Macaca fascicularis: one gene and its partner. The protein of the gene in region 1 interacts with the protein of each later gene in a biochemical or structural test. Links are inferred from orthologs where the notes say so. Each region holds a gene or a part of one and is shown in the gene's direction. Other genes may lie near its edges.

The links. The genes of interacting proteins can lie anywhere in the genome.
Region 2: the proteins of SNW1 (region 1) and VDR form a complex in vitro, tested with the Homo sapiens proteins (2 studies listed by BioGRID, with this or other methods). The link is inferred for Macaca fascicularis from reciprocal best matches to the Homo sapiens genes SNW1 and VDR.

The regions. Positions count from the first base shown.
Region 1 is NC_088381.1:145,672,369-145,678,023, reverse strand, and holds the end of SNW1 (SNW domain-containing protein 1), read left to right. Parts: intron 1-880; coding exon 881-998; intron 999-3,344; coding exon 3,345-3,812; 3' UTR 3,813-4,273; downstream 4,274-5,655. Other genes in the region: SLIRP (SRA stem-loop-interacting RNA-binding protein, mitochondrial), read right to left, coding at 4,311-4,376, 5,623-5,655. UniProt on the Homo sapiens protein: Involved in pre-mRNA splicing as component of the spliceosome. As a component of the minor spliceosome, involved in the splicing of U12-type introns in pre-mRNAs.
Region 2 is NC_088385.1:54,686,464-54,692,927, reverse strand, and holds the start of VDR (vitamin D3 receptor), read left to right. Parts: upstream 1-2,299; 5' UTR 2,300-2,395; intron 2,396-6,464.

The DNA.
Region 1 (5,655 bases):
GTGTTAATTGGCATATTTCATCTCCCTGGATAAATGACGTCATAGAGAAGCAGAGACTCTTACTCTTGAGTTGAGGGTAACGTACATGTAGAAGGAGGAGCAAAGTGTGAAAGTGTTTAATTAATGACAGTCTTGGTTAGTAATTCCTAAGTTGTAAAAGTTACAATGGCTCTGTGGATAAATTGGGCCCTCAAAACCAGTAAAGTGGCCATCAGAATTGACAACATAGAAAAGCTGTAAAATTGTAACTGGATGAAAATCAAATAGCCTGTAGAAATCATTTTGTGACCTGAGTTTTTAGTAAAATAAGTAATGACAGTTACCATGGTTTCATTGGGATATAGATTGCATGTATAATGAAACAGCCAGGAAACCAAATTAATTTGAATGTCAAAAATCATACTAACTATTTCAGTCATTGACATGTTTTCCTCAAAATTCTAGTGGGATAAAATTATTAAATGTAGTTAGATAAAAGAGCTGTTTCTAGCTTATTTAAAATGATTCCTGTGCTACATCTAAATTGTATCCACTTCCCCAACCCCCAAACCATCATATGATAGTAAATATAGACCATAGCAATTTTATATCTCAGTATGGTTGTAAGGTGATTGCTTATATTAAAGAATTCCATGTCAACGAATCTGTTAGATGTTCTTTTGAGCTAACAGGATGTCCTAATTGTAAAACTCTTCCCTCTAATCTGAAATGCTTTATAAGGGCTGCCAACTTGATTATGTATTATCAAGGAATATACGTTCTCAAGATGTGAATGTGACATATTCATGTCCTTTGCTTCTGAGATTGGTTGTATTTCTATTGAACATACTCAGTTTGTCTATAAAGAGTTTTCAGTTAGTGATGTCGTATTTCAAAATAGGTCGAAACTTCAGAGAAATGAAAATCGGGATATCAGTGAAGTCATTGCTCTCGGTGTTCCTAATCCTCGGACTTCCAATGAAGTTCAGTATGACCAAAGGCTCTTCAACCAATCCAAGGTACAAGTTTAGGAAAGCATATTGTTGTGTTGATGTGAATACCTATCCTCAGGGAAACGAAAATTACCATACTTCATATTTGGATGTAAATGCCAGCATGATGACAAAAAAATTGGAAGTTGTATGTTGAAACTTGAGACAAGAAAGATGAAACAGTTCTGATTTTAACTTCTTACAGTGGACTGAAATTTGAGACACTAGGAGAAGAAAGAAATTAGCTGATTAAAAACTTGGTGCTGTACTCGGGAGGCTGAGGCAGGAGAATGGCGTGAACCCGGGGGGCGGAGCTTGCAGTGAGCCGAGATTGAGCCACTGCACTCCAGCCTGGGCGACAGAGCGAGACTCTCTGTCTCAAAAAAAAAAAAAAAAAAAAAAAACAACTTGGTGCTGTGGTATGTCAATCTTTTGTTTTTAAAATAGAACCAGGGAGGACAGGCACGGTGGCTTTTGCCTATAATCCCAACACATTTGGAGGCCGAAGCAGGCAGATCACCTGAGGTCAGGAGTTTGAGACCAGCCTGGCCAATGTGGTGAAACCCCAGCTCTACTAAAAATACGAAAATTAGCCAGGTGTGGTGGTGCATGCCTGTAATCCTCACTACTTGGGAGGCTGAGGCACGAGAATTGCTTCAGCTTGTGGTGAGCCAAGATTGTGCCACTGTACTCTAGCCTGGGTGACTGAGACTCTATCTCAAAAAAATAAAATAGAGCCAGTGTCCTACAAAAGTTCCTCTTGGGTTTTTTGTTGTTCATTTTTGGGTTTTTTTTTTTTTTTTAATGCTATAGAAATATGTCAATTTGGGAATCTTTTAAAAATGAAGCTGTAAAACTGGATTAAAGTACTAGGCTGGCTGTCAGGAAATCTGATTTCTAGTACCAATTGCCATTAGCTAACTAGGACACTTTAAGCCTGGGAAAACACAAGGCGGGTGCGTGCACACACACACACACACACACACACACACACACGGTAAGAATACAAAGGTGTAAGTTCTACTGGAAAGTGGAGTGGGAAACTTTATGACTTGGAGGTTTTAAGTAAGCTCTTCTAAGTGATAATTTATTAGGTGCATTTTATATTCTTGGCATTGTTCTAAATCTTGTTATTATCTCAATTCTTACAAAAATCCTTTGAAATAATACTATTCTCTCATGTTATAGATGAGGAAATTGAAACACAGGTTTACCTTGTGACTGATGGAATTAAGATTCAAGTCTTGATCTCAAAGCTTTATTATTACTATTTTTTTTTGAGATGGAGTCTCACTGTCACCCAGGCTGGAGTACTGTGGCGCCATCTTGGTTCACTGCAACCTCCACCTCCCAGGTTCAAGGGATTCTCCTGCCTCAGCCTCCTGAGTTGCTGGGATTATCACAGGCACATGCCACCACGCCCGGCTATCTTTAGTAGAGACAGGGTTTCATCATGTTGGGTCAGGCTGGTCTCAAACTCCTGATCTTGTGATCCTCCCGCCTTGGCCTCCCGACGTGCTGGGATTACAGGCGTGGGCCACTGCGCCCAGCGCATTTCAAAGCTTTCTTAACCACTATACAAAGGCAGCTTACCAGCTGAGCAAAGGGATCTAGGGGTGAAATTTCACGTAAGTAAAATATTTTCAAGATAATCACCTGTTAGAAGCTTAAGCTTAAAACATTTAAAAATTGTGATGAAAATATTTCTGGCTGGGCACTGTGGCTCACACCTGTAATCCTAGCACTTTGTGAGACCTAGGCAGGCAGATTGCTTGAACCCAGTTTAAGACCAGCCTGGGCAATATGGCAAAACCCTGTGTACAAAAAATTAGCTGGACATGTTGGCACACACCTGTACTCCTAGCTACTTGGGAGGCTGAGGTGGGAGGAACACTTGAGCACAGGGAGGTTGCAGCTGCAGTGAGCTTATATAGCGTTTTGTGAGACCAAGGCAGGCAACCACCTGAGGTCAGGAGTTCAGGACCATCCTGGCCAACATGGTAAAACCCTGTCTCTACTAAAAATACAAAAATTAGCCGGGTGTGGTGGCACGTGCCTGGAATCCCAGCCACCTGGAAGGCTGAGGCAGGAGAATCGTTGGAACTGGGAGGCAGTGGCTGCAGTGAGCCAAGATCACGCTACCGCAGTCCAACCTGGGTGACAAAGCAAGACTCCGTCTGAAGAAAAAAAAAAAAAGAATCCAAAGTTATGAAGTTTATGTGCTAGCAGTTTTTTAATGAAGACCTTTAATTTGCAGTTCAGATTGTTGAAAATGTGAGCTACAAATTAGCAAGGGTTTACTGTAAACATGTTATGATTCAGCTTTTGATAAAGTGTTTACACTTTTATTTAATGTCATCCATTTTTCCACAGGGTATGGACAGTGGATTTGCAGGTGGAGAAGATGAAATTTATAATGTTTATGATCAAGCCTGGAGAGGTGGTAAAGATATGGCCCAGAGTATTTATAGGCCCAGTAAAAATCTGGACAAGGACATGTATGGTGATGATCTAGAAGCCAGAATAAAAACCAACAGGTACCAATCCATACAACTCAATTTCAGTGTTTACACTGGTGAAAGCAAAGTAGTTCATAGTCTTTTCTCTTTTTCCCTAGATTTGTTCCCGACAAGGAGTTTTCTGGTTCAGACCGTAGACAGAGAGGCCGAGAAGGACCAGTTCAGTTTGAGGAAGATCCTTTTGGTTTGGACAAGTTTTTGGAAGAAGCCAAACAGCATGGTGGCTCTAAAAGACCCTCAGATAGCAGCCGCCCCAAGGAACATGAGCATGAAGGCAAGAAGAGGAGGAAGGAGTAGACACAGGTCTCTTCATAGTGAATGAACTATTACCCATTACCCTAATGATGCAAGTCATACGGGGGAACACTTTGTAAATGGTCAGGATAAAAAACAAATCTGGGTGTCGGATCCCAGCACTACTTTTTATTACTGGAGAATGGGGGGGAGATAGAAAATTCTACTTTGAATTACTTAGTTTTTTTAAAGAGTGGGTTGTGTTTGTGCTTTTCCCACCTTTCAGCATTTATAGAACATGCTGCCCCACATACAAAGTCAAGACCACTTCCTTTTGTGTGACACTAGTAGTTTGGGGTTAATATTTTGTGTAAGAACAGCTGCATATGAGTAAAGTTACCCCAACCACAGTGAGGAGGATGTTCACATACTGGAACTATCCTGCCAAATAAATTTTGCCCCTGTTGTGCTCTGTTTTAATTTGGAGTGGGCAAAGTAACCTCTTGCTTGGTGCAACTATTTGTTTCAAATAAAAACATTTAGACAAAATTCTCAGTTATGTTAACTTTATTAATAGGCTGCGGTCTCAAAAATCTTTCTCTTCATCATCAGATGTCGGCAGAACTTTTGGCTTTTGAGCTTGAACCTGGACCTGAAAAAAATAAGCACTGTAAGGAAGGAAAGGCAATGTTTGCAAAAACATTCAAACTGAAAATCGCTTTTTTATTAGGGAATCAGTATGAATAACTCAGGCAGTTTTTATTTGTACCTTGTTCTTTTGTTTTCTCCTCAAATTCCTTTTACCATCTTTCTTGATATTATGACTCCCTAACCCTCAATTAAAAATTGTAAATCAGGCCAGGAGCAGTGGCTCAGGCCTGTAATCCCAGCATTTTGGCAGGCTGAGGCAAGAGGATTGCTTGAGGCCAGGAGTTCAAGACCACCCTGCAACATAGCAAGGGCCTGTCTCATTAAAAATAAATTTAAAAATAAAATAGTAGATCAATTTGGCCCAAGATCACATGGTGGGAAAGCCAAGATTTCAGCCCCAGCTTGCCTGACTTGAAAGGTAGACTGCTGGCTGGGTGCGGTGGCTCATGCCTGTAATCCCAGTGCTTTGGGAGGCCGAGGCGGGTGGATCGCCTGAGGTCACAAGTTCGAGACCAGCCTGACCAACATGGTGAAACTCAATCTCTACTAAAAATACAAAAAAAATTAGCTGTGCGTGGTGGCACATGCCTATAATCCCAGCTACTCAGGAGGCTGAGGCAGGAGAATCACTTGAACCCAGGAGGCAGAGGTTGCAGTGAGCCAAGATCACACCACTGTACGCTAGCCTGGGCAACAAGAGCGAGACTGTCTCAAACAAACAAAAAGAAAAAAGTAGACTGCTATGTCCACTGTGTTATATAAACTGGTTACTCTACCACCCCCCATTCTTTTTCTTTTCTTTTTTTTTCAGATGGATTTCGCTCATTGCCCAAGCTGGAGTGCAATGGCGCGATCTGTCAGGTTCTTCTGCCTCAGTGTCCAACCTGTCTCCCCGGTTCTTCTGCCTCAGCGTCCTGAGGAGCTGGGACTATAAGCATGTGCCACCATGCCCGGCTAATTTTTTTTGTATTTTTAGTAGAGATGGGGTTTCTCCATGTTGGTCAGGCTGGTGTCAAACTCTTGACCTCTAGTGATCCCCCCACCTCAGCCTCCCAAAGTGCTGGGATTACAGGCGTGAACTACCACACCTGGCCTACCACCCCATCATTCTAACAAGCATTAAGGTAGCTTCAGTTACAAATCTCTCAAAGTCCCCATCATTCCATATTTATGATCTATTTGATACATAATTAAATAGTACCTACATGTATATCATACATGTGTCTGGTATAGAAAAACAAATTTACCTTTACTCCATCTATAATATGATATTCCTGTTG
Region 2 (6,464 bases), on another chromosome or scaffold:
AGAGAAGAAATGAGTGGCGGAACCAGGATCATGTTTTGGATTGACTGGGTGTTTCCCAGGGTGTTCCTTGGTCAAACTAGAATCCACAGGAAACTCTGGGACAGCCCAGCATTGCAGATAGCACCCCAGTGCCCTAGAGAAGAGGGAGGCCATCTTCATAGCCAGGAGGGGTGCTGTTCACCAGCAATTTTTGACTCTCCTGCCTTTATCAATAGGATCCTGGTTCCTGAGTACCTGGCAAGAAACGGCAAGGCTCCCAGGGAGATGAGTTGGAGGCTGGGGAAGCTAGAGGAGCTGAGCGGACCTGAGATAGGATCAGTGACTTGAGAGAGCCTTGGGCCCTTCCTGACACATGCCAAGGGAACCCAGGATTGTGGGTATGTGCCTGAGCCAAGTGCTGCCCAAGTTTTGCCAGATTCACTAGGTGTGCCCTCCTTGGTGGGCCAGGTGTGCTTGGTGTGTGTGTGTGCGCGTGTGTGGGTGTGCATGTGTGTGGATGTGGGGGTGTGTGCATGTGTGTGCACGTGTATGCATGTGTGTACATGTGTGTGCATATATGCATGTGTGTGAATGTGTGTGCATGTGTGTGTGCACATGTGTATGTATGTGCATGTGTGTGTGTGTGTGTGTGCATGTGTACCTGGCATGTCCACATCTATCCACTGACTTGGATTGTTCCAAACCATTTTCTCTGCCCTCACCTTCTTTCTTTCTTATAAAATCATACATGCTTATTATAAAAATTCGTATACAGATGTCTCTCTAAGTCTAAATTATCTCAGATATAATTTCTTTTAACTATTTCATATTTATCTTTGTATACTTCTTTCAAGTACATTCAAATATATAGTTACTTACATGATTTAGATACACATATTCAAATGTAGTAGTATTAGGTTTATTGTTAACAAAATGGTATCATAATCTACATATCATTTTTCACCTTTTTTTTCCCACTTAATAAACCTTGGTCATTTTCTCCGCCAGCATCAATGGGTTTATGTCACTTTTAACAGCTGAAGAGTACTCCATTAAACAGATGTATCATCATCTGTTTACCTGGGTGGACTCATCACTACGTGCCTATCTCCCCCAGAAGCTGCGAGAATAGGGTGCCAGAGGGGTGGGAGGACAAGGAGACTAGTCAATGTCAGCCATACCTTGGGAAGCAGCCCAGTCTCAGCTGCCCTTTGACATCTTACAAATGGATTCCAGAACTCTGCTCCCTTACCACATCTACAACCCCACCCACCCCCAAGTCCCTACCTCCAGTCCTCTGTCTGCTGTCCCCCTGCCCTTCTCCCTCTGACCATTGACCTCTGTACAGTGCTACGGGTTTGGGGGTCTCCTGGGTGGGCTCCCTGCTTCCCAGCTCTTGGCCTCTGAGGCTGGCTGATCTCCCAGAAATGGGAGGAACTGGGGCTTGAGGGACCCTGAATTCAGGAGACTCTGTGGAGACAGCCTGGCCTGGCCAAGACAGCCACCCAGGCTGACCCAGGGGAGGCGCCATGCTAATGGAGAGGCTGGCACTGCCCATGCCCACATGGCAGTTTCCTGCTTTCCAGAGGGCATGGGGAATGGGGACTGTGCCAGATAGGCATGGTGTCCCCGCCCCTGCACCAATGTCATGGAAAATGTGAAGCCTTGATCTTTGTTCTTGATTGTTCCTCCAACTTTTACAACTGGAAACTGGCGGCGTCTTTGTTCCCACCGGCTTAGGAAGGAGATGTTGAGGGCTGGGGACGGGAGGCAGCTGAGTCAGCAGCTGGAGGTGTTGAACTGGTTGCTTCCTCAGACCAACCATGACCCCTTCTCTCTCACTTACACGCACTCAGTTTACCCATCAACGGACCGTACCTTAACAGCGCCAGTGGGAGAGGGGATGGGAACAGCCTTCACCGTCCTTCCTGGGGAAGCCATCTCCCCTTGCCCAGGATGGACGGCCAGGCTGTCCACAGCCCTGACCCCCACCCCCTGCTCCAGATACCTCTGGCTCCTCTAATGCCCGTGGTGGCAAGCAGTTCCCAACCTGCCTCCTTCCTCAGGGCAGGTCCGGTGTGTCTGTTTACCTCAAGATTCAGTTAGAAATTGATGGTAGGGAAACCACTTTGCCAGGTGGCTCCCTCCGGCTGTGTGGGGCCCAGCCTCCTGGTCCTCCCCTGTTCCCTCATGGGCAGAGTTCATGGAAACTTCTCAGGTCACTGACTCTCACCTTCCTTTCCTCCTCAGGAGGGCAGGCCCAGCCCCACTCCCTGCAGCCTGGCCCCTCCTTTCCCTGAAGGCCCTGCTGTCCTGGCGCAGTGTGGAGAAGGGCAGGCCTGGGGACTGGACAGCAGCAGGGCCAGGGTGGTCTGCTGCAGGGGGAGACGCACCTCTGCTTCCTGCGACCTTGGCGGTGAGCCTGGGGACAGGGGTGAGGCCAGAGAGGGACGCAGGGGCCCTGCCCAAAGCAAGGGAGGACAGCGGGACTGAGGCAGAAAGAGGGCAGTGTGTTCACCTGCAGCCCAACCTGTCACTCAGGGACTCCTAGATGCTGGTAGAAAGCTCCTCCGAGGAGCCTGCTATCCAGTCATGAGTGCAGGTGTGGGGGGTTTGCAGGTGTGTGTGTGGGTGCACAGGTGTGTGGGGGTGCGCAGGTGTGAGGGGTGCGCAGGTGTGTGTGTGGGTGCACAGGTGTGAGGGGGTGCGCAGGTGTGTGGGGGTGTGCAGATGTGAGGGGTGTGCAGGTGTGTGTGGGTGTGCAGGTGTGAGGGGTGTGCAGGTGTGTGGAGGTGCACAGGTGTGAGGGGGTGCACAGGTGTGTGGGGTGCGCAGGTGTGAGGGGGTGCGCAGGTGTGTGGGGTGCACAGGTGTGAGGGGGTGAGCAGGTGTGAGGGGGTGCGCAGGTGTGTGTGGGTGCGCAGGTGTGAGGGGGTGTGCAGGTGTGAGGGGATGCGCAGGTGTGAGGGGTGCGCAGGTGTGAGGGGATGCGCAGGTGTGAGGGGATGCGCAGGTGTGTGGGTGCACAGGTGTGAGGGGGTGAGCAGGTGTGAGGGTGTGTGCAGGTGTGTGTGGGTGCGCAGGTGTGAGGGGGTGCGCAGGTGTGTGGGGGTGCGCAGGTGTGAGAGTGTGTGCAGGTGTGTGGGGGTGCGCAGGTGTGAGGGTGTGTGCAGGTGTGTGTGGGTGCGCAGGTGTGAGGGTGTGCAGGTGTGTGGGGGTGCGCAGGTGTGAGAGTGTGTGCAGGTGTGTGTGGGTGCGCAGGTGTGAGGGGTGCGCAGGTGTGGGGGGTGCGCAGGTGTGAGGGGGTGCGCAGGTGTGTGAAGTGTGCAGGTGTGAGGGAGTGCGCAGGTGTGGGGGTGCACAGGTGTTTGGGGTGCAAAGGTGTGAGGGGTGTGCAGGTGTGAGGGAGTGTGCAGGTGTGAGGGGGTGCGCAGGTGTGTGAGGCGCACAGGTGTGTGTGGGTACACAGGTGTGAGGGATGCACAGGTGTGTGGGTGCGCAGGTGTGTGGGGCGCGCAGGTGTGTGGGGGTGCACGGGTGCGTGGGGTGCACAGGTGTGTAGCCCGCGCTTTGGGGCCGCAGGTGAGGGAGGTTTGAGAGAGGATGGCAGTAAAGGCTGCCCCCTGCGGGTGGGAGGGGTGTGGGAGGGGAGATGGGATCCGGCGCTGGCGCGGTCAGAGAAGGGTGGGCGGTGGTTGGAGGGAGGCAGGGCACTGGCCTTGCTGGATCCCACGCGCAGGCCTTCTCTGCTGGCGGAGGCTGCGAGGCCAGCCTCTGTCTGTCTGTCCGTCTGTCTGTTCGTCCGTCTGTTCGTCCGGGTGGTGCGCCAGGCTGCAGTCGGAGCAGGCAGTGGCGGTGGGTAGAGGAAATGGGACTTGACGGCCTGGGGCTGAGCGCCTGATCTTTTCTTGGTGATGCTCTGCCTCCCAGGAACCATCGCTTTTGGCTGTGGTCAGGCAGGACTGGGAAGAGCCCTGTGGCCCCTGCAGGTCAGGCCGCTGCACCCCCTACATCCGATCCACCTCGCTGCCCAAGCGGTACAGCTTATTTGTGTTCCTTCAGATTTTGCCAGTGCCTTTGCACCCCTCTCCGAGAGTTACTCAGTTACCAGTGTTGGTTTTCTATTTCCAGAGCAAAGGCAGGTCCTCCCCTCCACGGCTTTCTCCACCCTAGCGGGGGCTGGGCCTCTGCCTTCCATCCAAGCCTGGGTCCAGGTCCCAGGGCCATGGCTCCCTCGCCTTTGTGGAGGGAGGAAGGCGGGCGGTGGGGGGGGAGAGGGGGCACCTGAGGGGGAGGGTGCCTCAGCTGTCCTTCATATCTTCTCCTGACCTCCAACCCCACCCTGCTTTCTCCTGGACCGTTCCCATCAGCATGCTCTACCTCTCATCTCTAAAAGTATCCCTCTCCAGGATCCATCTTTGCCAGTCCATCACGCTGACGCTTCCACAGCCGTCCTCCTCACAAGAGCAGGGCCACTTGCTGCCTCTACTTCCTCCCTCAGCCCCAGCCACTGCTCCACTGCAGCTCTTCACATGAAACTCGGCCTGAGGAGCGCTTCTGTGCCTCCCTCGTCCTCTCCCAGCAGCCTGGACTCAACTGACTCCCCTCCCGAGGCCTTCTCTTTTCCCTTCTGCTCCCCCCATGTGGCGCTGTCCTTCTGGTTCCTTCTTGACTTGTCTGTGATTCCTTCTCAGGCCTCTTGGCAGGTTTCTCTTCGAAGTGACTGGAAAGCCAGTGCTGCATGGACTTGGTACTGCCATCCCCTCTGCCGTATTTCTGTGGTTTAGACACCATCTGTATGGTGGCAAACCCCATTCTTCCTCTGCGTTCTGACTCCCAGAAGCAGTTCCCCTGGACACTTCTGTTGGGGGCCTCGCAGACATTTCAACGTAATGCATCCAGATGACAACCCTTGATTCCCCTCTGTCACCCCCAATCTAACCTGCCTCACCTTCATCTTTCTAGTTGCTGAAGACTGTGGTCCTTGGTACTGCCTTACCTTTCACATCCAATATACCGTCCAGTCCACCAGATCCCACACAAAATGCACTTGCTTTTCCACCATTCATCTCAATGGCCACCATAGCCCTGGTTTTTCTAAGCCACCATCCTCTCTTACCTGGACTCCACAGTGGCCTCATGACTGGCCTGCCTGCTGCCAACCCTCAGCTCCTCCATTTCAATTTCCAGAAAGTATGAAGAATTGTCTTTTGGGGAAGATCACTTGAGGCCAGGACTTTCAGACCAGCCTGGGCAACATAGCTTGACCTCACTTATTAAAAAAAAAAAAAAAAAAAAATCAGCCAGGTGTGGTAGCGTGCGCCTGTCGTCTCAGCTACTCAGGAGGCTGAGGTGGGTGGATCACTTAAGCCTGAGAGGTCCAAGCTGCAGTGAGCTGAGATTGCACCGCTGCACTCCAGTCTGGGTGACAGAGTAAGACCCTGTCTCAAACAACCAACCAACCAACCAACCAGAACTGTATTTTAATAGCATTCAGTTCATGATCTCTTTTCTCCTGAAGCTTTCAGTGTGCCCATGCCTATGTGCTGTGTGTGTGCACATGTGCACGTGCATGTGTGTGTGTTTGGAATGTTACCATAGCCTGTGAGGCCCTGAGTAATTCTGCACTTTTCCCATTTTCCCAGTCTTATCTTACACCCTTTATCATTGGCCAGGTGCTTGAGTCTTTCATTTCCCACTAGTCGAACTTCTTTCCCTACCGTAGGGCCTAGAATCCCATCCTCCCCCAGTGTGCGCACGCACGCGCGCGCGCACGCACACACACACACACACACACACTGAACTGGCCCCATTTTCATTCTTCACATCCACCTGTGTGTCATCTCTGCAGAGAAGTTTTCCTCACTGCCCTGTCCAAACCAGCCCTCCTCTTCTAATTTCTATTTCAGTCCTCTATTTAGTTTCTTTTCATAATAGCATGGATTGTACTTAGTAGTAATTGTATTTATTTGTTTCTTCACTTTCACCTTTGCTGTTCACTCCAGAATGTAAACTCCACAGGGCAGGGGCTACGTCTGATGTTTCCGTCATTGTAACCCCAATGCTTAGCAGATGGCTTGGCGCTTGGTAGGTGTGCAATAAAAATGTGTTGGATGAGTGAATGAATAAATTAGTGAATGGTCCCAGCTGCTAAGGTCATTTAGGATCTGGTGGGACTGGAAGACAGGTATGGAGGAAGGGAAGACTGTGGTTGGTAGAAAGGCACTGCCTAAGTAGCCTTTCCAGACTTCGCAAATAAAACTACAGGATACCGGTTACATTTTAATTTCAGATAAACAATAATTTCTTTTAGTATAGGTACATCTGACATTCAAATTTAATTGGGCATCCTATATTTTATCTGGAGACTAGGTGAGTGAGGAGGGTGTGGTGGGAGGGGGTCCAGGCCTGATGGAGTAATGGGGCCCAGGGAGTGTGCAGAGCCCTGGGTTCAGGTGGAGCAGTTGTGGAAGCTAATCGGGCAA